3 linked regions of the Lonchura striata genome follow. The protein of the gene in region 1 purifies or fractionates together with the protein of each later gene. This does not show direct contact. Links are inferred from orthologs where the notes say so. Each region holds a gene or a part of one and is shown in the gene's direction. Other genes may lie near its edges.

What was found. The genes of interacting proteins can lie anywhere in the genome.
Region 2: the proteins of JUN (region 1) and COP1 purify together in Homo sapiens (affinity purification with western blotting; 9 studies listed by BioGRID and IntAct, counting the BioPlex papers as one, with this or other methods). This does not show direct contact. The link is inferred for Lonchura striata from reciprocal best matches to the Homo sapiens genes JUN and COP1.
Region 3: the proteins of JUN (region 1) and JDP2 purify together in Homo sapiens (co-immunoprecipitation; 3 studies listed by BioGRID and IntAct, with this or other methods). This does not show direct contact. The link is inferred for Lonchura striata from reciprocal best matches to the Homo sapiens genes JUN and JDP2.

Annotation. Positions count from the first base shown.
Region 1 is NC_134611.1:7,572,644-7,579,489, forward strand, and holds JUN (transcription factor Jun), read left to right. Parts: upstream 1-4,366; 5' UTR 4,367-4,708; coding exon 4,709-5,653; 3' UTR 5,654-6,331; downstream 6,332-6,846. UniProt on the Homo sapiens protein: Transcription factor that recognizes and binds to the AP-1 consensus motif 5'-TGA[GC]TCA-3'.
Region 2 is NC_134611.1:3,320,951-3,328,677, forward strand, and holds the start of COP1 (E3 ubiquitin-protein ligase COP1), read left to right. Parts: upstream 1-4,723; 5' UTR 4,724-4,729; coding exon 4,730-5,067; intron 5,068-7,727. UniProt on the Homo sapiens protein: E3 ubiquitin-protein ligase that mediates ubiquitination and subsequent proteasomal degradation of target proteins.
Region 3 is NC_134608.1:23,066,679-23,074,059, reverse strand, and holds the start of JDP2 (jun dimerization protein 2), read left to right. Parts: upstream 1-4,377; 5' UTR 4,378-4,430; intron 4,431-7,381. UniProt on the Homo sapiens protein: Component of the AP-1 transcription factor that represses transactivation mediated by the Jun family of proteins.

The DNA of each region.
Region 1 (6,846 bases):
CTGGGCTTTTTTAGAGTTTTGATTCCAGAGTCCTCCACATCAAGCTGCGAGTCCCACTCTTCCCCCAGCCTTATCCATTCCCACCTTTCCCCTGTGTCCCCAGGTGTATTGATTTGTTTTTATTTCAGCCACAGTTCCTGGATCTCCACCTGGCCACAGGAGTCCTGCTGGGAGCAAAGAGCAGGAGGAGAGGCCACGGAAGCTGGGGGTGGATGAGGTGGCAGCTGTGCCACGCCTGTGCTGTGCTGCAGACTTGGACCCACTTGAACCGAGGACGCAAACACGCCCCGAGGAACCGGCGAGGGACTGGGACCAGCAGAACCCGGGAATGATTATTTTACTTCCACTTGGCCTAAGGAAACTCTATTCCTTGTACCCTCTCACTCCCACCTTCTTTTACTGTGCCTTGATGGAGTAAATAAGAGAAAAATACTTTTGCTTTCTGACTCTTCAAACTCTTGTCTCCCCCAGTTGGAGAAAACTGGTCTATAGTAACTCCTTAAGCAAGTGTGCAAAAATCCAGGATTTCCCAGTTTTACTCACTTTAAGATGTGAAGAAGGATATCACATTTAGAAAGTGTGAAGTCCTGTTTTTTTAAAAAAAGAAGACAAAAAATCTACATAATAATTTTCTATACAATAAAGGTGTTATGGAAACTTCTCTGAGGAGAAGAAAAAGCAAAATATTCTGACATGTCTAAAGAAAAATATATATTGAAATATTTAATATACATGTAATAAAACTATATGGGAAAAAGTATTTTTTTTTTCTGTGACCACTCTTTCCAATGTAAAAAAAAATCAGAAACTGACATTTATCCTTTTTTCTTTCCTTTTTTTTTTTTTTCCCAAATAATTTTGAAGTAAGTCAAAATCATTTGAGATGCAGGAGTGAAACAAACCAGCAAACCCATTTATTCCTGGACACCAAATATAATTTAGATGGATGTGGTGTGTGCAACAAATTTTAATTTGTCCCTGAAAAGCCATTTAATTATTCAGATTATCTGATTGCCTCACTCAAGCTTCTATTGATTGATTAGAGAAGCTTATAAATCAAAATGTGCATTACTGTTGCTCAACGCATCGGCCTCTCAGAAATACAGGGCAGGGATTGGCAATTCCTAGCCACAAGTTAGTTTATTGAGCCATGTAAATGGCTCTGGTTTGTACCTGGGTCAGGAAGCATTCCCTCATCCTACTAAAGGAATATTTTCTTAAGGATGTCAGGAAAGGGGGAATAAAAGCCTGGAATTAATAGGTGTTTAATAAATCAGAGCATAGCCACCAGCTCCTTGGCTAATGGCCATGAAGGATCACTATCCATGGGTCCTGCTTTTGGATCTGCTCCACTCTGAGTGTGTCAGCGCCGATTTTGGGACTGAAATCTCAGCCAAACCCTCCCAAAGGTCCCCAGCTAGGCAGGAAATCCCCTGGGAGCAGCCAGGAGCTCCTGTCTTTGATTTCAGTGCTCTGCTGCTCCGCAGAACCTTCACAAGCACCTTGGCTCTCTGTGGCAGGGAACAACCTGCAGTGAGCAGCAGTGACGGGAATGGGTGTCCCCAGAGCCACAGGGCCCCAGCTCCCAAACTGGAATGTCTGCTCCCCAACCCCGCCTCTGCAAGAGGAAGGAAGTACAGAGCTGAAATGGGTGGAGGGGAAAAAAAAAATTAAATTAAATTAATCCCTCCCGCCTGATCCAGCCCTTACTGAAGTTAATCAAAACCTTGCAGATCAGTGAGCTCCAAAGGCAGTTTTACAGGTTATACAAATCTGTAATAAATAGAGTGGTTTAAGCTATGCTGACCATGTTCCTCATAGTTTGAATTTTGCTTTCTAGGACAGAAGAAACATGCAGCAGAAAACTCCAAAAGATAAAACAAAACAACACAACCAACTAATACATAAAGGTAATCAGAATAAATTTTAATAGTATTTGTCTATACAGCAAATTAATTGTGTGGCTTCCTATGCACCAGATACCCCCATTTTTAGCTTCATTTGGAAATATTTAAAATCATTTATTTCAAAATAAAAAACTCCATACAACAAACGACCTCGAATTCAAGTCTTACATTTCTTCAGATTTTCTTCCTTGCCCTTTATAAACATGAAAACTGCGGGGTGACACTGAAATCATTTATGGGCTATCCCCGGGGGCTGTAACACTTCAAGGACGGCCACACGAGATCCCCATCTCTGACAGGGGCCAGGAGTGGGTCCCTAGGGAGCCACCCCAAGCCAGGGATGCCCCCCGGGCACAAGTCATTTGCAGCCCTAGGATTTCCAGAGCCAGTGTAGATGCTCCGTGATTCACAGACCTAAAGTGATTTCTCTTCCGTGAATTCATCCATCACGTTAAAATCCCTCCGTCCACCCTTGCCAGGGAGTTCCAGCGCTGAACCGCAGTTCTTTGGTTTGTTCCGAACCTGCCAGTTTCATTTGATGTCCCTTGGCTCTGAGGCCAGAAGAGTCAGCCACAGGTCTCTATTTATCTTGTATGTAAACATTAAAAGGAATTAATTTGAGTGCTCACTGCATTAATGAAATCCTGAGATTTTCTTATGCATGCGCAGTAACTTAGTGCTGTTTGGCTGAACAGTTTACCCAGCTGAAGTTTGAGTTACCTGCAGCCCAGAGAGATGCTAACTCTGTGAAGGCTGTACAGACACCAGCAGCACACAGTGAGCCCCCTCATCCAGTCCAAAACGTTTTTTTTTTATTTTGTGCTACAGACTGTTAACACACTGCATGCATTATTTCCATCATTCCCGTTAACACCAGTGCTTGCCATGTGGCCAAAGTCAGGTGGGAACAACGCAGAAGGAAAAATCCCCAACAACTTCCAAGAGGGGAGCTGGACCTTCACTTTTCTTTCATAGATGCTGATGTTTCTGTTTGCTTCGCTGCTCCTTTCTATACGGTAACTGGTAATTATGTCATTACATCCAGGAAAAAAATAGAACTGGGGAATTTGAAAGGGTGTTTTCAAAATGAACCTAAGTTTGTTAGCTTCACATGTCGTGTGAAGGGGTTCAAGCTGACAGATCAAGTTCTGCACTGACAAAAAGCTGAACAGCAGCAAGCCAACAGCTTCGAGTTGGAAGCACGAGGAGCACTTGTTGCACTGCTGGCAATCAAACCCACCAGGACAGCCCTGCAGTCCCTGTGCCACCCCGTCCTGTCACTGCCTGTCCTCAAATACCTGCTGCACTTTACTCCAGCGGTGGCAGCAATCCCAAATCCCCAGCACGCCGAGAGAAGGGGGTGTGCGGGGCAAGGGAAGGCAAGCGCATCCCTGTGATCAGCGCTCTGCCCGCACGGAGCAGCGCAGCGAGGCACAGCTCCCATCTGTTGCTGCCAGCGGGGACTTTTCTCCTCCGCCGCGATCCTCCGGCTCCAGCCCTTATTCTCCCTCCCGCCCAACCTGCAATTCCACAGCAATACTGGGACACTGTCTAAAATTAGGCCGTCGCTGTCCCTTCCCCTTGGAGGACGAGTTCAGAGAAACCCATCCGTAACCCGGCTTTTTCCTGTCGGGTTTTACTTCCCCTCCGTGTTCTCCCGGCTATTCCCGAGGCCGGGAATCGGCTCTCTGTGGAGGCAGAGCCGTGCCCGGGGGCGGGTGCGGGCGGAGGTGCGGGGGCGAAGGCGAACCCCCAGCGAAACCCCGCGGGGCCGGGCGGGCCAGCGGGGACTCCCCGGGCGGCGCGGGGGCAGAGCCCCGGGGGCCGGGCGGGCGGCGCGGGGGAGCCCCGGGGCCCGGGCGGGCAGAGCCCCGGGGCCCGGGCGGGCAGGGCCCCGGGGGCCGGGCGGGCCGGGCCGGGCGGGCGGCGCGGGGGAGCCGCCGGTGCCGCCCGCGGCGCTGCCTGGAAGCGGCGGGGGCGGCGGGACGGGGAAACCACGTGGGGCTCCCCGGGAGCGCCGCCACCTGAAGGGCCGGACCGGCGGCGGGGGGAGGGAAGCGCCGGAACGCGGCGCAGGCAGCGCAAACAAACAAACAAACAGGCAGATAAACAAACAGACAGACAAACGGACGGACGGACGGACGGACGGGGCTCGGCGCACCGGCGGCGGCCGGCCCGCGGTAACCGGATCGTTCAAAAACAAAAAGACGTCAGCCCACACTGCCCCGCGCGCGCGCCCCCCCCGCCATTACGTCATCCCACAAGGCCCCGCGCGCTCAAGAAGCTTCTGAAGTGGGGGGGGGGCGGGGGGTGGCCATGGCGACCGCGCGCCGGGCCCTGGCCCCGCCCCCCCCTCGGGGACGGGGCGGCAGCAGCCAATGGGGAGCGCGCGGGGTGACATCATGCGCTATTTTTAGCGGGCCCGCGGCCGCTGATAAGTGAAGGGCTGCACGGCGGGAGCGGGCGCAGAGCGCGGGGTGGCGGGAGCGAGCGAGTGAACGAGCGAGTGAACGAGCGAGCGCGGCCGCCGGGACGGTGGAGCGGGAATAGCGCGGAGCCGGGCAGGGAAAGTACTTGTGGCGGCGGAGCGGCGTCCCGGCACCACCGGCGAGAGGAGGAGGAGGGAGGCGAGGCGCCCCGCCAGGCCGGGCGGGCTCTCAGCGCGGCAGCGGCAGCGGCGATCCAGTAAGGCTCCGCGTTTCTCCTTCCTCGGCTCCGCGTTCCCCTTCCCCGGGAGGGTCGGGGTGCCCGCGGGGAGCTGAGCGGCGGCCGGGCAGCTTCCCTTCCCCGGACTGTGTTCTATGAGTGCAAAGATGGAGCCTACTTTCTACGAGGATGCGCTGAGCGCCGGCTTCGCGCCGCCGGAGAGCGGCGGGTACGGATACAATAACGCCAAGGTGCTGAAGCAGAACATGACGCTGAACCTGTCCGACCCCTCCAGCAACCTGAAGCCGCACCTGAGGAACAAGAACGCCGACATCCTCACCTCGCCCGACGTGGGGCTCCTCAAACTGGCCTCGCCCGAGCTGGAGCGGCTCATCATCCAGTCCAGCAACGGGCTGATCACCACCACGCCGACCCCGACGCAGTTCCTGTGCCCCAAGAATGTCACCGACGAGCAGGAGGGGTTCGCCGAGGGTTTCGTGAGAGCTTTGGCGGAGCTGCACAACCAGAACACGCTGCCCAGCGTCACCTCGGCCGCCCAGCCCGTCAGCAGCGGGATGGCACCTGTGTCCTCCATGGCCGGCAGCACCAGCTTCAACACCAGTTTGCACAGCGAGCCCCCGGTGTACGCCAACCTCAGCAACTTCAACCCCAACGCGCTCAGCTCCGCGCCCAGCTACAACGCCAACAGCATGGGATACGCGCCCCAGCATCACATAAACCCGCAGATGCCCGTGCAGCATCCCCGGCTCCAGGCTCTGAAAGAGGAGCCGCAGACTGTACCTGAAATGCCGGGGGAAACTCCTCCCCTGTCCCCCATTGACATGGAGTCACAGGAGAGAATCAAAGCCGAGAGAAAGCGCATGAGGAACAGAATCGCGGCGTCCAAATGCCGGAAAAGGAAGTTGGAAAGGATTGCCCGGTTGGAAGAAAAAGTGAAAACTTTGAAAGCCCAGAACTCAGAGCTGGCATCCACTGCCAACATGCTCAGAGAACAGGTTGCACAGCTTAAGCAGAAGGTCATGAACCACGTCAACAGCGGGTGCCAGCTCATGCTCACACAGCAGTTGCAGACGTTTTGAAGAGACTCTTCGGCGAGAACTGTGTGTTGTGGTACAACTAAAAGAGGAAAAATCCAAAGTGGCAGAGGCATAAAGCTAATGGCAAAGAGCTGAGGGGCTGTCCTGCCTGTGCTCCGCAAAGCGCATGTGTGGAAAGACTGGCAAAGCCTTGGGCTGGAGCCGGGAGCGCAGCGGGCAGCGCTGCTCCGGGAAGTGCTGCTCCTGCTCGGATGAGATGTCAGATCTTCGTTTAACATTGACCAAGACCTGCATGGACCTAACATTCGATGATCATTCAGTATTAAAGGTTAAACTGCAATAGAAACTGTAGATTGCTTTATGTAGTATTCCTTAAGAAAAAAAAAAAAAAGTGGGAGGGAGGTTTGTGGGAGGCTGATAAACAAAAAAAAAAAAAAGAACTGTTCTGCCTGCCTTCAAGTAAATTGTGTATGTACATATCTTTTTTTATTTTATTTTATGAAAGTTGATTAATGTCAATAAACTACTTCATGACTTTGTAAGTTATTTTTATGTTGTTTATTTGGGCACTGCCCAGTATTGTTTGTAAATAAGAGGCTTTTTTTTAGCACTCTGAGTTTACCATTTGTAATAAAGTATAATTTTTTAATGTTTCTGTTTCTGGAAAAAAATTCTAGAAGGTTCTATTATATTTAAGAAAAATAAAATAATTAAAATGTATTTTCCCCTCACACTTTTTTTTTTTATTTTTGGCTAGTACCTTAGTTGGGAAAATGCCCTTTGGGCTGCAGTCTGAAGGGTAGGGATTATGCTGAATTTACTCTGTAACTCCAGACATGTCCTGGAGAAGGTGTGAGGAGGGGAGGGAGAAGCCAGACCGTCCTCATTAAACTCCTACAACCTCTGGGGCTGTCCTGAAGTTGGATTCCCCAGCTGCAGCCTGCCTGCCTGCCTCGTTCTTGGGGCCCAGTTTAGACATCTGACTTCAGGCAGGGTTGTGGAGGGATGGAAAGGCAGGGAACAAAATTGTTCCATAACTGGAGCAACTGGCTACTTGATCTGACATGTTTTTTATTAAATTAATGCCCTCAAGAAGATAAGGCAGGTGGCTGTATTAAGAGAACTATGCTGTAGGCTTCAAAAATAAAAATATTCACCTTTATCCCTGTATTTTCTCAGGTAGGAGGTGATTCTTGTCTGTTAATATTTATGACAATGCTGCTGTCAACAGTAAA
Region 2 (7,727 bases), about 4.3 Mb from region 1:
AATGAGTCATCAACAATCCGGAGCCTGGCGCCTGGGAGGTGACTGTCACTTCCCTGAGACACGCAGCCCATGGATCACTTCGTGTGGAAGAAGTCTCAGTCTCCCTGCAAGATGACTTATGCAGAGTATCCTTAATGATTCCGTGGCTGGACTCCATGGCTGCAGCTGCTTGTTGCACAAGTAAATGGAGCTGCAGCTGCAAATGGCACAGACTCGAGTGTTAAGTAGGGTTTATGTACCCAAAAGAGCAGAACCTTACACTGCTACTAAAGTTCATTCATCTATAGATAGTACTTGGATTCTCCTTCCTTTAATGCCATGGGTAGGGTGTCTTCTCTCTTTGCACAAGATGAGAACTGCTACTTTGCTGGGATGTTGTCAGCAACTGGCTTCAGAGGCTAAAAACACAGATAAGTTAGAGCAGATTCCTCCAGTCAGTCTTACAAAATGTACATCTGTCAGAAATACCAGTTTCTTTGCGTAAAATACCCACTAAGGAGTACAGCTGGAGACAACTTATCCCAAAGAAACAGATTTGTTTGCAGCCTAAGTTTCAGGCCAGTCGGGAATACGTGATGTTTGCTTTCTGTACTTGATCCACACAACTCTGAAAGCAGGCAGACATATCTCCACTAAGACTAAGTTGGGAAATAGAGGCAATCCTCTGAAGCAGGACCTATGAGGAGTGTGCTACATGAGGGCGCAGGTGTCCCCACACCAAGACTTTCCCCTCTGTCCTGAGCCCATCATGAGTTGTGCTCCAGTGCAGGGTTCTGGCCTGCAGGCAGTGCAAAGGCACACTGCTGGCTGGAGGAGGCACAGAAACCTCTCAGCTGATCTATCCTCTTTCACTCTTGTACCCTCGCCACTGATAGTAATCACAGTGTTGTTGATACCTGGACTAAATCAAACCAATTCTTAGAGCTCATCTTGTGCTAACAGGAACTAGAAGATAATTGACAAATCACTGTTCCAGCTGCAGTGCACTGGAGCTGGAAGACTTTTTTCCATGTCCTTTTTCCTGATATAACACAAAGGTATCTCCAGTAAGCAGCACCTAACCTTCCCTTTGGCTGCATACATGGACTGTGGAACTGGTAATGCAAGGTAACCCCAGGAAAGAAGTGTCTCCAGAGCCAGAGGCTGCTCCCAATGCACCTGGGCAGTGAAAAGAAGATATTCACTCAGAGGGTCTCCAAGAGCTCATAATGGTGTCCTGAAGCTCAGGAACCAGGGAGATCTTCCGTAGGTATTGAAGTGCTGGTAGTCACACTCATTGCCAGGGCTGTGGGTGTAGGTGATGTTGTGAAGGCCAGTTATGTATCGGCATAAGTGCTCACACATTTGTTCTCTAACAGCTTTTGCCTGTGTCATCTTTTTCTCTCTGGAGCAGTCAGTAATGGCATCAGCAAGACTTTTCAAGGGTCAGTCAGTATTTCAGTGTGAAGCATGGGATTGTGCTATTGCCAATACTACTGCTTACTACTTCTGAAAGTCCATTGTAGGCACTCATCTATAAAGTTTTTGATCCTTCTGGAAGAGAAGGAAATGAGACTTCCCTTTCTCTTAGCAATAGAAAATAAGATGCACACACAGACACTAACAGCCAGGCTGAAAGAAAGGTCTAAATAACAGCAATTCTCTTTTGCTTCCACTGAAAACAAGGGGAAACACTACACTTCAATGACTTTATGGAGCTAGTCTTGAGATCTGTGAGTCGGAAAGCTATTTACAGAAAGCAGGGGAACCCAATGGCTTTAAAAAAACCACAAACCCAAAAGAAAATACCAAAAAGAGTCCCCAGAGCTATATTAAAAAACGTTTTTAATAACAGCAACAAAGAGTTAAATCATGGGAGTGACTCTAATAGCAGATGTCGCCTTGTAAAGGTGAGACTGCTGACCTGGATCTCTCAGGGACTCTAACTTTGAATTTCCGGGCTTGAATTGAATTCCTCAGAGACATTCTGGGTTTTGCTGACTGCCTTGGTGATTTTTCCTAACATCAGGGGTAAACATACAGAGTCAAATACCCAGTAGTATTCCAGCACCTCTGAGAGGGGAGGTCAGGAGGAGCACTCCGCAGCTCTACCCCTCCAGCTGCACCTGCAGGGTAAATCCAGAGCTGTGTTTTGCCCTTCTGCCTTTGGGACATTTGTCATCCAGCATCCCTGACAGCCTGGGAGGTCTCCTGACCAATACTGCCTACCTGAAGCACCTTTTTCTCTCTCTCAGACCAGTTTTACCAGCTCCCATACTGGTTTTACGGCTCACTCTGCTGTCCCTGCTGGGAGGAGTGCTGCAGCTGATCTTTTTGGGCGTTTTCCCATACCTGGGTTTAGGATTACCCTCCTCAGGGAATGCCCTAGTGTTTCACCAGCTGCCTCCTCCACTCCAGACAAGTAAAGCTGACTGTGGACAATACAGTTGCTCAATGCAAAGGAGGCAATATGTTTCCAAAGGCTGTTGAAAGAGAAATTAAAGGGAACAGCAGCTATCTCCCCACAGGACTTCTGGCTGAGCCAAGGAGTTGACAAGTGCTGTGTTTCATGAACTTTTCAGTTTGGCATGTAAAAGGCTGGATCTGGGGACAACATTTCTCATAACACCCAAAACATCTTTGGGGCATCCTTTATCAACACTTTTCTAATTAACTTGTGCAGAAACTGGTCTGCCCTTGCTGTATAAAACTCAGGCCTGCTGTTGGGAAACAGGAACCCAACAGGCTATGGTCCTCACCATTGGGATTCCCACCCACCCGGGCAGAAGAAAGCTGCCTCAAACCTGGGAAAAGCTGTTCACTCACCACCAGACATCTGTCACAGAATCACAGAAACATTTAGGTTGGAAAATACCTCCAAGATCATCTAGTCCAATCTGTGACTGATCACCACCTTGTCACCCAGACTAGAGCACTGAGTGCCATATCCAATCTTTTCATGAACAGCTCCAGAGATGGGGACTTCACTACCTCCCTGTTCTAATGCTTAACAACCTCTTTCATTGAGAAATTCTTCCTGATGTTCAACCTGAACCTCCTCTGACCAGGTTGAGGCCATTTTCCTCTTCTCCTGTCACTTGTTACCTGACAGCAGAGCTTGACCCCTACCTGGCTACACCTTCCTATCAGGGAGTTTAATAAAGTCCCCTCTGAGCCTCCTCTTCTTCAGCATGAGCCCCCAGAGCTGCTACTCAGAGGACTTGCTCTCCAGCCCCTTCTCTGTTGCCACTGTTGTCCTTCTCTGGAGCCACTCCAGACCCTCAAAGTCTTTCTTGAAGTGAGAGGCCCAGAACTGGACATAGCAGTTGAGGTGAGGTTGCTGCTGACCAGCACCCTCAGGTTCTCCTCCACTTGGCCACTCCTCCTCCAGTCTGTTACACTGCCTAGGATTCTTGTCACCCAAGTGCAGACTAGGCACCTGTTGAACCTCACACAATTGGCCTTGGTCCATGGATCCATTTCTTTGTGTGGGGCTGGATGGCATGGGATAAAGCTCAGCATACTTAGAGCTGCCCTTTGGGGTACCTAACTAAGGTGAAGAACATCCTGTGAGAGACAGAGCAGCCCTGCCCTTCACAGGATCTCTTTGTGGTGCTGGGGGCCCAGGGAGGGTCTCTGAGTGACAGCCTGGCACATTTCCCTCTGAGGCCAGGGTGCCTTCCCCTCAGTGCAGGGAGATCACAGAATCACAGACTCAATTAGGCTGGAAAAGACCCGTGAGGTCATCGAGCCCAAGCTATGAGCCAGCACCAGCTTGTCAACCAGACCATGGCACCATGTGCAGTCTTAAACACCTCCAAGGGCACTGACTCCACCGTCTCCCTGGGCATCCCATTCCAATGAATAATCACCCTTTAGTGTGAAAGAATTCCTCACTATGTCCAGCCTGAACCTCCCTCGGCACAGCTTGGACTATTTCCAACCTATCGCTGCTTGCCTAGGAGTAGATTCCCACCCGCACCTGGCCACAACCTCTTGTCAGGCGGTCACAGGGAGCGAGAAGGTTCCCCCTCAACCTCCTTTCCTCCAAGCTGAGCTCCCCCAGCCGCTCCTCAACAGACTTGTACCTCAGGATTGTGCACCACTAGATGTGCTGTCAGGGGGAGCAACTTGAGGCGCAGCTGGAAGCTCCTGACCCACACTCCGAGCCCGCGGCTGAAGTAGGAAAGCCCAAGCCCAAGCCCAAGCCCAAGCCCAAAGCCCAAGCCCAAACCCAAGCCCAAACCCAAACCCAAGCCCAAGCCCAAGCCCAAGCCCAAGCCCAAGCCCAAGCCCAAAGCCCAAAGCCCAAGCCCAAACCCAAGCCCAAGCCCAAGCCCAAGCCCAAGCCCAAGCCCAAGCCCAAGCCCAAGCCCAAGCCCAAGCCCAAGCCCAAGCCCAAGCCCAAAGCCCAAAGCCCATCGGCCACGGCTCCGCCGCTCCGTGAGGGGAGCGCGGCCGGCCCCGCCCCGCCCCGCCCCTCAGGGGCGCGGCCCCGCCCCGCGCACGCGCGGCCGCGCTGTCCGCCTGTCAATAAAGCTTGAACAAGCGCCGCGCCGGGGCCGCCGTTTTGGGTTTTTGATTTTTTTTTTTTAATTGCGGGATTTTTTTTTTTTTTTCATTTTTCTTTTTTTTAATTCTTTTATTCCTCCTCCCCGTTTTCTTCCTCTGAAGGAACTTTATTTCCCCTTCCCCCCGCGCGCACGGGGATGCGCTGAGGCCGCTCCGCCCGGCCCGGCCCGGCCTCGGCATGTCGGGCAGCCGCCCGCCGCACCCCGCCGTGCCGCCCGCCGCCACACCGGCCTCCTCTTCCTCCTCCTCCTCATCCTCCTCGTCCTCCTCCTCCTCCTCCTCGGCGGCCATGGCCCCCGGCTCGTCCTCCTCGGGCGGCGCGGCGGCGCGGCCCGTGCTGGTGGCGGCCGCCGTGTCGGGGTCGGGCGCGGGGCTGGCGCGGCTGGCGGCGGGGCCGGCGCGGCCCGGCGGCTCCTCCGCGGCGCCGGGGGCCGGCGGCAGGAAGAGGCCGCTGCTCACCCCGCTCTGCAACGGGCTCATTAACTCCTACGAGGACAAGAGCAACGACTTCGTGTGGTGAGCGCGATATGTCGCGATATGTCACCGGGGGAAGGCCGGGCGCCGCCATGCCGTCGGGAAGCCTGGGGAGTGTGGAATAGCGGCGGGAGGAGGGAGCAGCCGGCAGCCCCTCCTGGCGCTGGGACGGCTGCTGCCCGCCGGGGATTGTGGCTCGGGGGTTTTCCCTCTTTTGTGCCTCTGTCAGAAATAGTGTGGCCGGCAGGAGTAGGGAAGTGATTGTCCCTCTGTGCTGGGCTCTGGTGAGGCCGCACCTCCAGTCCTGTGTCCAGTTCTGGGCCGTTCAGTTCAGGAAGGACGTGGAGCTGTTAGAGCAGGTCCAGAAAAGGGCTGCAGAGCTGGGGAAGGGCTGGAGCACCAGGACTAGTTGGGAGGGGATCTCCTAGGGTAGCCTAAGGAGGAGAAGTGACTCGGGGGAGACTTTGTCACTTTCTACAACTCTGTGACAGGATGTTGCAGCCAGGTGGGGATCAGACTCTCTGATAGCTAGCAACAGGACAAGTGGACACAGCCTTAAGCTGTGCTAGGTTGGATGTTGGCAAGAATTTCTTCCTAGAAGGGTTGATTATATATTGAAATGGGCTGCCCAGGGAGGTGGTGGAGTCACCATCCCTGGAGCTATTCAGAGAACAACTGGACATAGCACTCAGCTAGTTGACACCACTAGTTGGCATGGTGGTGTGGGGTCGTAGGTTGGACTTGATGATCTCAGAGGTCTTTTCCAGCCTAACTGATTTTGTCTGGTTTTGGCCCTATGTAGCGGCATTGCCTCCACCCTCTCTATTTTTAAGCAAAATCAGGTTATTCCTGGCAGGTTCCTCCTTGAGTGCACCCAAGTTGTTGGAAAGGCCCTGCAGCACGAGATGTTTCCTCACAACGTTCTGACAACACAGCAACTGCCTTGTTTTCCTGGACAATGTGACCTCGAGTGGTCTGGAGCCCTCTCATCTTTGGAAGAGGATTCATCAAAGGATTAAGTGCCCCTCTGGAAGGGACTCCAAGGACCCTCATGATGTTTGATAGCTCCAGCAAAGCTGGCTTGGTTTGCCCATGTTGCTGGGAAAGGTTGTCTAGTTTGAAACTGCAACAAGTTTTGTATCAGGCAGGCACCTACAACCAGTTTAGTAGGGAATTTCTTCTGTGATGGTCTAAAAATTTTACAGATGTTGTTTTCTAGCACCCAGCCATTCAACTGTAGCTCATAGCTGGAAATCACCTTTCAACATAATTGGCAAACTGAGGCCCATGGTTTGAGAACTGTTGGTAATTTGAATCTGTTGCTGGCAGGTTTCAAATGTCCCAACACAAGAAGTAGGTTTGGTTTTTGTAGTTGAATGTGCTAAAATGTGACAACAGGAAGTAAGGTTAGGTGTTTGCCTCTGAGAAAGGCAAACAGGGAAGAGGTAGTGGGAAAAAGATCAAGTTGTAGCAGTCATGGAAAGGAGATAGTAAAAAAAAGTTGATTATAAGTGGGCCACAGCTTCCAAGATTATTTTGACAGCTCTAATGTAAGCTCTGACTTACAGGTGAGGATTGGATGTGAGGCATCTCCCAGAGGACAGGTATTGTCTCAAAACCTTGTAGGCTTAACTTTACAGCTTGTAAAGTGTTTAGCAGAGTAGATAGGAAATACCTTTGCTACTGAAGTGAAAACCTGAAGCTAATAAGTTAGTAGCAGGAAAAACAATAAGTTATTCTTGTTAGGAATTAGTAACAGTCAAAAATTACTGCTTTTACTGTAGTTAGTAGTTTGCTCAGTAGCAGAATGGGGATGAGAGGACTGCTGTCATCAGCTGATGCCCTGCTCTGGTTCTAGGCCATGTTAGGTGGATTTAGGAGCTCTTGGTGTGAGCTTGGTTGCTCCCAGGTTTTCTGGTCATGGGGTATGAACACAGCTACAAGTGCCCATTCTCCTCTGTTCCCTCTACTCTTACACTCTGGCAGTAGAGTTCTGCCAGCATGGCTCCCTGCCCTTTCCAGTCAGCTCTTATGTCCTATTTTGTTGTCTGTTGAAGAAATGAGGGGTTTGGAAAGGAAATTACACCCATAACAAATTTGTAGACTTGATGTATTTTTAGATGGTTCAGAAAGCTGAGGTTCTTGCTTTTTTTCTGCAGGTAAGTACTGTGCGTGCTTCAAGGAGAACCTGTAATTAGCTGTTTTCTTCTCATTGAGAAGCACTACTGACTGAACAAGTGAGAGGAAAGAAATCAGCCCAGTAGCACTCAGGGCAAAATGTCATTTCTTAGTATTTACAAGAGCCACACTGAACATACTGAAGTACAGGTCAGAAGCTTTATGAGCAGACAATGGTTATAGTTAACTTGGGTTTTTCACTGCTCTATATTTCTGTGGGCTAAAGGGCTTGTTCTTACTTATTATTGTTTTAGCTTCAAATAACAGTATCTGTCTTTTTTTAAATTTGATTTAGCAATATAGTTATGTAGAAATAAACCAAACTGGGCAGCTCTGAAGTTTTGAGCAATGTCCAGGAAGGCAGGTGTGTGTTAGTTTAAATAATTGATTTAAACAAGCTTTACATATCTCAGTGTGAGAAACAGAAGTTTCCCCCATGCCTTTTTGCCTCTGTAAGGATAATTCAAGATGCTGCCAGAGGCAGAGAGCAGACTTGCTAATTTTTCTGAACATGAGCTGTAAGT
Region 3 (7,381 bases), on another chromosome or scaffold:
TCTTGTCTTGTATCACCATCATTCTCTCCTGCAGGGCGAAACTCTTTCTTGCTGCAGATAGGTATTGTACTGTGGCTTACAGAGTTTGAATGTGCAAGTCCTAGGTCACATCCTTCAGTGAATGGTTTTCAGAATTAGCCATCAGGATTGCATACTAATACTGAAGACAAAGATCAGGGAAAAGGGAAGCAGATTCGTGAGGATTTGGGTGGCAAAAGTGGATGGGTAACAGATGAAATGCACTGTTTCATATAGCAAATGTTGGATAGCAATTGTACAAGCAAGCAGCAGGTCTGAGGAGTCCCAGTTAGGCAGAGCCACAGCACAGCTCTCTCAGCCGCAGTGGATGGGAGGCAATCATTAATCCTGTCAGCTTGCACTGAGAGGTAATGCCAGAGAGAATTTTACATGTAGGACATCAATATGGCTTTGTATCTGCCAGGTATGTCCCACATGCATGTTGTTGGGCTAGTCAGCCCTGAGAGACTGCAGAAAGGTGAACTGGAATAGCTAACATCCTGATTAGACTTAGAATATTGATTAATTTCAAGCACATAGAGCTGTGCTTGGTCATGCAACAGAGATGTTAAAGGTCTAGTGTATCATTTGCTTTCTTGGCCAAGAATATATCAGGGAGGTAACTGTGAGCTCATCACTACTGACAGTGGCATCAGGAGGGTGCAGAGGGCAAGAAAAGGACTACCATTGCTGGGATCTTGAATATGCTCAGTGCATTTGGACAGGGCACATTAAATATCAAGGACACTCAGGAACCTTGCCCATGCTGTGGCTCTTGTTGTTGTTGTGTTCAGACAGGGCTGTAACAGGTTTCAGAGAGAAACCTGCCAAGAGGGACCAGTACTGACTGCTTCCCCTGCCCACCTTCAGAAGACACTCCTGCTGTGAGAGGGCCATCAGACAATCCAGAAGAGGGCTGAAAGAACAAGGGTGGTTGTGGAGCTGTTTTGGGTGTCCTGGCCTAAGCCCAAACCCAGCCAATGAGCAGCACAGTTCATCTGTGTAGAGAAGGCAGAGGAATGCATGCTGGCAGGTAAAAAGCAAAGACTTTTCCTGATGACTGAGAGCAACTCCTCTGCAGTCAAACTTCTGTGCTGGTGCAGCTCTGTTTTGCTCTAGAGCTCTCTCTGTTCCTGATAACTTTCTGGCCCCATGTTGTGTTGCAGGGGCTGTGTTTCCACATCCATGAGCCTTCACCTTCCACACACTTCATTTTGGACAAAAATATGAAAATCATCCCTTTCATCTGAAGAGAAAGCCATCTGCCAAGCAGCAAGGTACTGACAGCTTTTTATGTTCTGTGCAGTGGAACTTTTGCTTTTTTTCTCAACAGCTCCTGTCTCCCTTGCAAATGCTGCCATTCACATTTGATTAATTTGTCTTTGTCAGCACATGTTTCCACCGCAGTGGCAAGACTGACCAGCCCTGGTAGGGCCAGACGTGTTTATCTGCATCATTCAGCAAACAGCCTGTTGTAGGTGACTTTTTTGTTCACTTTTACCCACTGAAGCCACGAATTCTCAATTAATTGTTACGTCTTTTCTAGCCAAAATGAAACTATCTGAAAAGTAAACATATTTGGTGTTTACATGAGGCAAAACCCAGCTTGGGAAAAGAACAGTTCAAGCACAGGCTGCTGCAAGAGCAAGGAAAATTCCCCTGTGAGACAAGAGTTCCCAAGTCAAGGAAGAATGATGCAAGTTTGTCCCTTTAAATATGTGCGTAAGCACTGTCCCAGGCAAGGATTGCTCCCCTGGAATGTGCTCTTCAATAGTTAAGTAAGTCCCAGTTAGGACTAAGTTGTGTTATTATAATAATGGAGGCTCAGCTGCCTCTAGAACATGCAGTGGGGAAGCAGGGAAGGGAAGCAGGCTGATGGGGTCTCCTTCCCATTTCCCAGCCTTCTTCAGCACAGCCTTGAAATCAGTGCACTGCAAACGTGCTGCAAGTGCTGGTCTTTTACAGACTGGTAGATGTTGCATCCCTGCTTCCATCCTGTAGAGGCTGTCTGAGAGAGAAAGGGCCAAAACTCAAGGCTGGGGCAATAGATGTCTGTGTTGCAATGAGATCTCCCAGCTCTGCCCACCAGTGAAAGGGAAATGAAAAAGGCAAAAATGGTGGAAGACAGAGCAGGGAGAGCTCTTTTTCTTCCAACCCCCTGCAAAGAAGGGGAAACGGCACTTTCCCACCTTCCCTAGGGTAGAGAAAAGTGGCAGGAGGAATTATGTGCTGGACTGGACCTTGCTCAGTCAGGACATCAGCCTCTTCTGAAATCCCTCTGGTTTGTCCTCTTTCCTTCCCTCAGGATGCAGTAGTTGTGAGGAACCTGCCGTGCCCTGAAGGCAACTCGTCTGATTTGCTAGAGAGATGTTGTTTGTCAACCCCACTGGGATACCTGCAGCTTAAGGCAATAGAAAAGTCTGTCCTATCTGATGCAGGAAGGAATGCATATGGAAAAAATATATTGTGGCTGATATTTCTCCTTTCTCCTGAAGATGAGGTGCCAAGATTAAGGAAATATTGGGGTTGTATGCAAAAGTGTACAAAAAATATTCTGCCTCTCTGAAAGTGAAACAAACAAAAGAACAGCAGCATGAGAAGATTAGTAATGTGCAGCATCCTGCCAAGCCAATATGTTACCTATTTCTGTAGGACAGCTTGGGCAGATTATATCCTACATAGAACACAGCATTTCTGATCCCATGTTCTTGCTTAGTCCCAGATCTTTCCAACTGAATTCTCTTGCTGAGGCACAGATGAAGAGGACAAGGCTGGAAGTACTGATGGCAAAACCTTGTAGATGATGAATAATGTGAATCCTCAGTTGTGAAAATAAATTAAATTGGTCAATGCTGAAAAGAAGCAATGACTGACAAGTCAGGGGAAGGAAAACAAGGTAGAGTGGATGGTGCCTCTCTGTGGTGCTAGGGGGGTCAGAGAGGTGACACTGTCACTTAGCTGGGTAGTGCTGCTCAGCCTGGTGGTTTTGCTAACTACTCTTAAAATGTTGTCTTTCTGAAGTAAAAGGAGCCTTTCTGTCCTGAAATGCCTTAGGAGCAACAGCCCTGGAGCATCCAGTACCTATGGCAGATCCAGCATGATCCTCCAGTTGTGCAAAGCTTTGCTTCCCTGGAAGAGTTTGGCTAATGCAGCTGGGAAGAGGCCAATGTTAGAGAGAAAGAGGAAAGAAAAACACAAATAAGTTATCAGGAAGGCCCCAGTCTGTCACCTGCTCCATGATCCCCATCTGACATCAAAGTGCTAGAACACTGGGCACCACGAGTGTACCTGTGCTTCAGGCAACATCCCTCCCTGATGTCCCATTGATGATAAAGAAACAAAACAGCTGGAAAGAGGTGCTTTGAACCCCTCTGCTTCCTCCTGGTTACTCTCCAGGCCAGTCAAGGGAGTGGTGGAGCTGGGGCTGACAGCCCTTGGCCCTGTATGAGGCAGACTAGACCGTGTTGCGTGGGGCATGAGCAGGCCAGGCTGGAGGAGGGATGGAGATGAGAAGGTTCTTGCCTCCCACCGGACTGTAGAGTGACCCTGCAGCCTTCCCTGTGCCTGCGCCTTTGCTGCCTTGGGTAAGGTGTGCTTGATGCTGGGGAGCACTGGATGCTCTCTCTGGTCCTTTGCCTCCTTCTTCCCAGGCTCAGGGCTGAGGAGCGGAGGCTCTACACAAATTGGGCTAGCTGGGGCTGCGGCGGCACCGGGCCGTGTCACCGCGGCCGCCGGGGACGGTGTCCGGGCGAGTGCCGGGGGACGAGAGCGACGTGAAGGGAAGCAGAGAGTGTGCGGAGGGGCGCATACAGGAGCGTGGGGAAGACACGCACCCGGTCGGGGTGCGAGGCGCCGGGGCGCCGTGGTGCGGAGGGGTCAAGCGGTGCCGGAGCGTGCCGGGGATGCCGGCTGCGAGGGCAGAGGGTTGCCGAGGGGTGGCGGGTGCAGAGTCCCGGGGTGCAGGATGCGGAGGCGCCGGGCCGTGAGGTGTGGGATGCCTGGCTATGGGGTGCGGGATGCCGAGGTGCGGGATGTCGGGGTGCCCCGGCTGGTCCCACCCCTGCGCGGCGCTCCCCGCCCCGCGGCCCCGCTCCCCCGCCCTCCCTGACGTGTGGCGCTGGCAGCCCGGCCGGTTCCGCATTCCCGACCCCTCCCCGCAGCCCAGGGGCCGCTATATAACCGGGGCTGATGCAACCCACCCCGCCGCCTGCCACAGCCTGCGGGAGGCGCGCACCGGGGCGGCGGGCGGTGGCGGGCCGAGGCGCCCCGGCGGCGGCCGGCACCGACATCGGCACCCGGCGGGGCCCGGGGGTCGGGGCAGCGGCGGAGGCGGCGGGGCTGAGCCTGCAGCCCGCGCCCGGCCCCTGCGGCCGGGCCCCGCGGGCACCCCGGCAGCCCGGTCGCCCTGCACGGTGGGTATGGGCGCGGGCGGGGGACGTGCCGAGCGGGCCGGGACTGCGGCAGGGGCGGGCGGCGGCGCGGGGGTGGCGGACAGCGGCGACGGGGGCTGGAGTGGGGGGCGCCCGGAGGAGCATCCCGTCTCCCGCGGCAGCGGGCAGGGCGCTGCTGTCCGGGCGGTCGGGCGCGCCGCGGCGATGCCGGGAGACCCTCCGCGGGGCGGGCACGGCCGCACGGGCGGCTCGGAGCCGGCTGCTGCCCCCGCACCCGGCGACGCGCGGGGGCTGGGGGTGCCTGGCTCGGGGCTGCTGCTGCACTGAGGAGCTGCGGGGCGGCGGGGGCCGCCTCCCCCCGCTTTTCGGCCGCCGCCGCCTCGCTTCACCTGCCGGCGGGGCGCGCAGGTGAGGGGCGCGGGCTCCCCGCGGCTCCGGGCCGGGCCGGCGCGCTGGTTGTCGCCAGCCGTGTCTCCAGCCCGGGAGGCCCGGGGAAGGAAAGGGGCCCTGGAGGTGCCCCCGCCGCGCGGTCCCAAGTCCGCTTTAGCAGTCAGGCATGGAGTTGAATGGAAGTTGCATTCTTTTGCACGCTCTGCTCCAGGAGGCACTTTTCTTTTTTCCATGGAAGGGAAATAGGTTTGAGAGCAAATTGGGGGAAAGGGAGAAATACCAGGGGAGCAAGAGCCACATTATGTTTCCATTTTCCTTTAATGAAGGCCCTGTGGAGGTGTATTTGAAAACACAGGGTCTCCTATGCCTTCAAGGAGGGTGAGAACACTGTGCTGGCTGGTTCCAGGGCCATATGCAGCGTATGGTGGCCAATGAAACAGGGCCTGGCTCGTTCTCTTGCTTGTCTTGGCAGCCTGCTCCATGGCTTGCATTACCAGCCCTGGAACACAACCACTGCCAAACTGTGAGTGTGTGTGCATGTGTGTGTGCTTGGACTCCAAGAGCTCAGCAGAAGCAAATGCTTCTGTAGCTCAGACCAGGATTTTTTAGCTAGTTTTGGGACAACTTGCATAAAAATCTATGTCTGGAGGCTCTTGACAGAGTCTGCCCTGGGAATTTGTTGCTAAAAGCTTGTGTGAGGGCATCTGTGAATGCCAGTCTTCGCAGTTTGGATTCTTACTGAGTCCTAGTGATTTAAAAATGCGAAACCTACCCATCTAGGGGATGAGTGCATGGGTGCAGGAGCTGCCATCCACACCATTACTATGTCATCCAGCAGCTGGTTGCTCCTGGTGTCTGGGGAATTAACAAAATCTGCTGAATTAGTGTGTAGGTTATTGCCTCTGCTTCCTCATTGAGACTCCTATGGATGCTTTCCCTGCATCCTCACAGTTGAGTATTTCCCTCCTTACAGGATGCAAAGGTCTCTGTGCTACATTCCTTGCCAAGGAAGAGTAAATACTCCCTCGGACCTCTTGCCTCCTCCTGCCCTGTCCATCTGAGCAATGTGTCCAACTGCTCATGAGCACTGAGCATCTGTTCTGTGGTCTCCTTCCCTGTGCTAGTGTTAGCTACTTCAGCTGCATTGCCTGGGCCAGGTACTTGGCAGCATGCAATGACTTGAATGTGAAGCTGTAAGAGGCTCTTTTCACTGCAGTGGCTGTTCGTAGTGGGCCTGGCCCCAAAGCAAGGCAGGCAGAGCCATGGTGAGGCATGGAACCCCTTGCCAGCGTGTGTGTGTCCTGCAGTGCCAGTGCAGCAAGGAGGGGGCACTGCAAACCTGATGCCATCTGTCTTTGGCTGCATTTCTCAGTTGCTTGGACTGTCCAGAGTATCAATCCAAACATTGCAGGCTATTTTAACATGCAGCCGGAGAGCTGAAGGCACATACAGGCCTCTGAGCTGAGCAGTGCTGTTGCAAACTAGCCAGAGTTAGTCTTTATATGGATTAGAGGTCTTTGTGGATGACTCTGGTATTTAAGACATCATTTTGAGGAGTTTGTAGGGGGTGTGGGGGCTGTCATCTCTGAAGCCATCCTTGACCCCTGAGGGCAGAACTTTGTGCTGGAGCAGGATTGTCTTCTTGAAGAAGATTCTAGCCCTGACCACATGTGGTTATGGAAGGTCCTGGGTAACTTCAACAAGTCAGTTATTGGACTGCAGTTCAGACACTGAGGTTTTTCTCAGACCATATTCTTTCCTTCTCAAGCCCCTTTGAGCTCCTTCAGGTACGAATAGGATAGCTTTTACCTTCCTGCTCTATACTGCTGTCCAGTGGGTGGTACAACCTCAAATAATTAATTGCAATCTTAATAATACTTTGATAATTAGTGGCATTTATTTGCAGTTATTGCAATTAACTATCAGAGTAGGGGAGCCTTGTTATGGTAGGTTCTGTACAAAACCCTGCTGTCACAGGTTGCTTGGAAGTCAGTCACTGCATTGCAGTGGTGGGAGCAGCTAAACTAGAGTTTTTTGCTGCCCTGTGAAGGTATGGAGGAAAATGCTCAGGGAGGAAGGGCTGTGAGCTGACTGCTTTGCTGATGGCAAGGGGAGATTATTTCTAAAGCTGAGGACTGGAGAACCAGTATCCCTCCCCCTTCTCACAAAAGGGGCAAGAAGTCAAAGCATTAGACAGGCAGGTGTGGAGGCCTAATGGTGAGACTCAGTTGGACAAGGGGCTGCAAAATGGCATTTCTGCCAAGGAGACACTGTCTGCTCTGGGCTGCTCTATATGCATCATGTAGGAAGCTCTGAGTTTCCCTGATGGAGAAGAGGAAGGAGGGCAGCAGGGCTCTTTGCATTCCTGTTTTTAGAAAGCTTCTTATAGCCCTCTGTCCTGTCAATGACTCTGATGTTCCTCCTGCCAGCTAGATGTGCAGGACTGAGCCAGAATGTTCCCACTCATGAAGTAGGTTTAGAATTCCACCTCCTGAGGAACAGTTCTTCATACCTCCTTCTTCTGTTCAGCATTGTGGCCCCCCACTCACTCTGATCTGGGGGTGGGAGGTTACATGTATGGG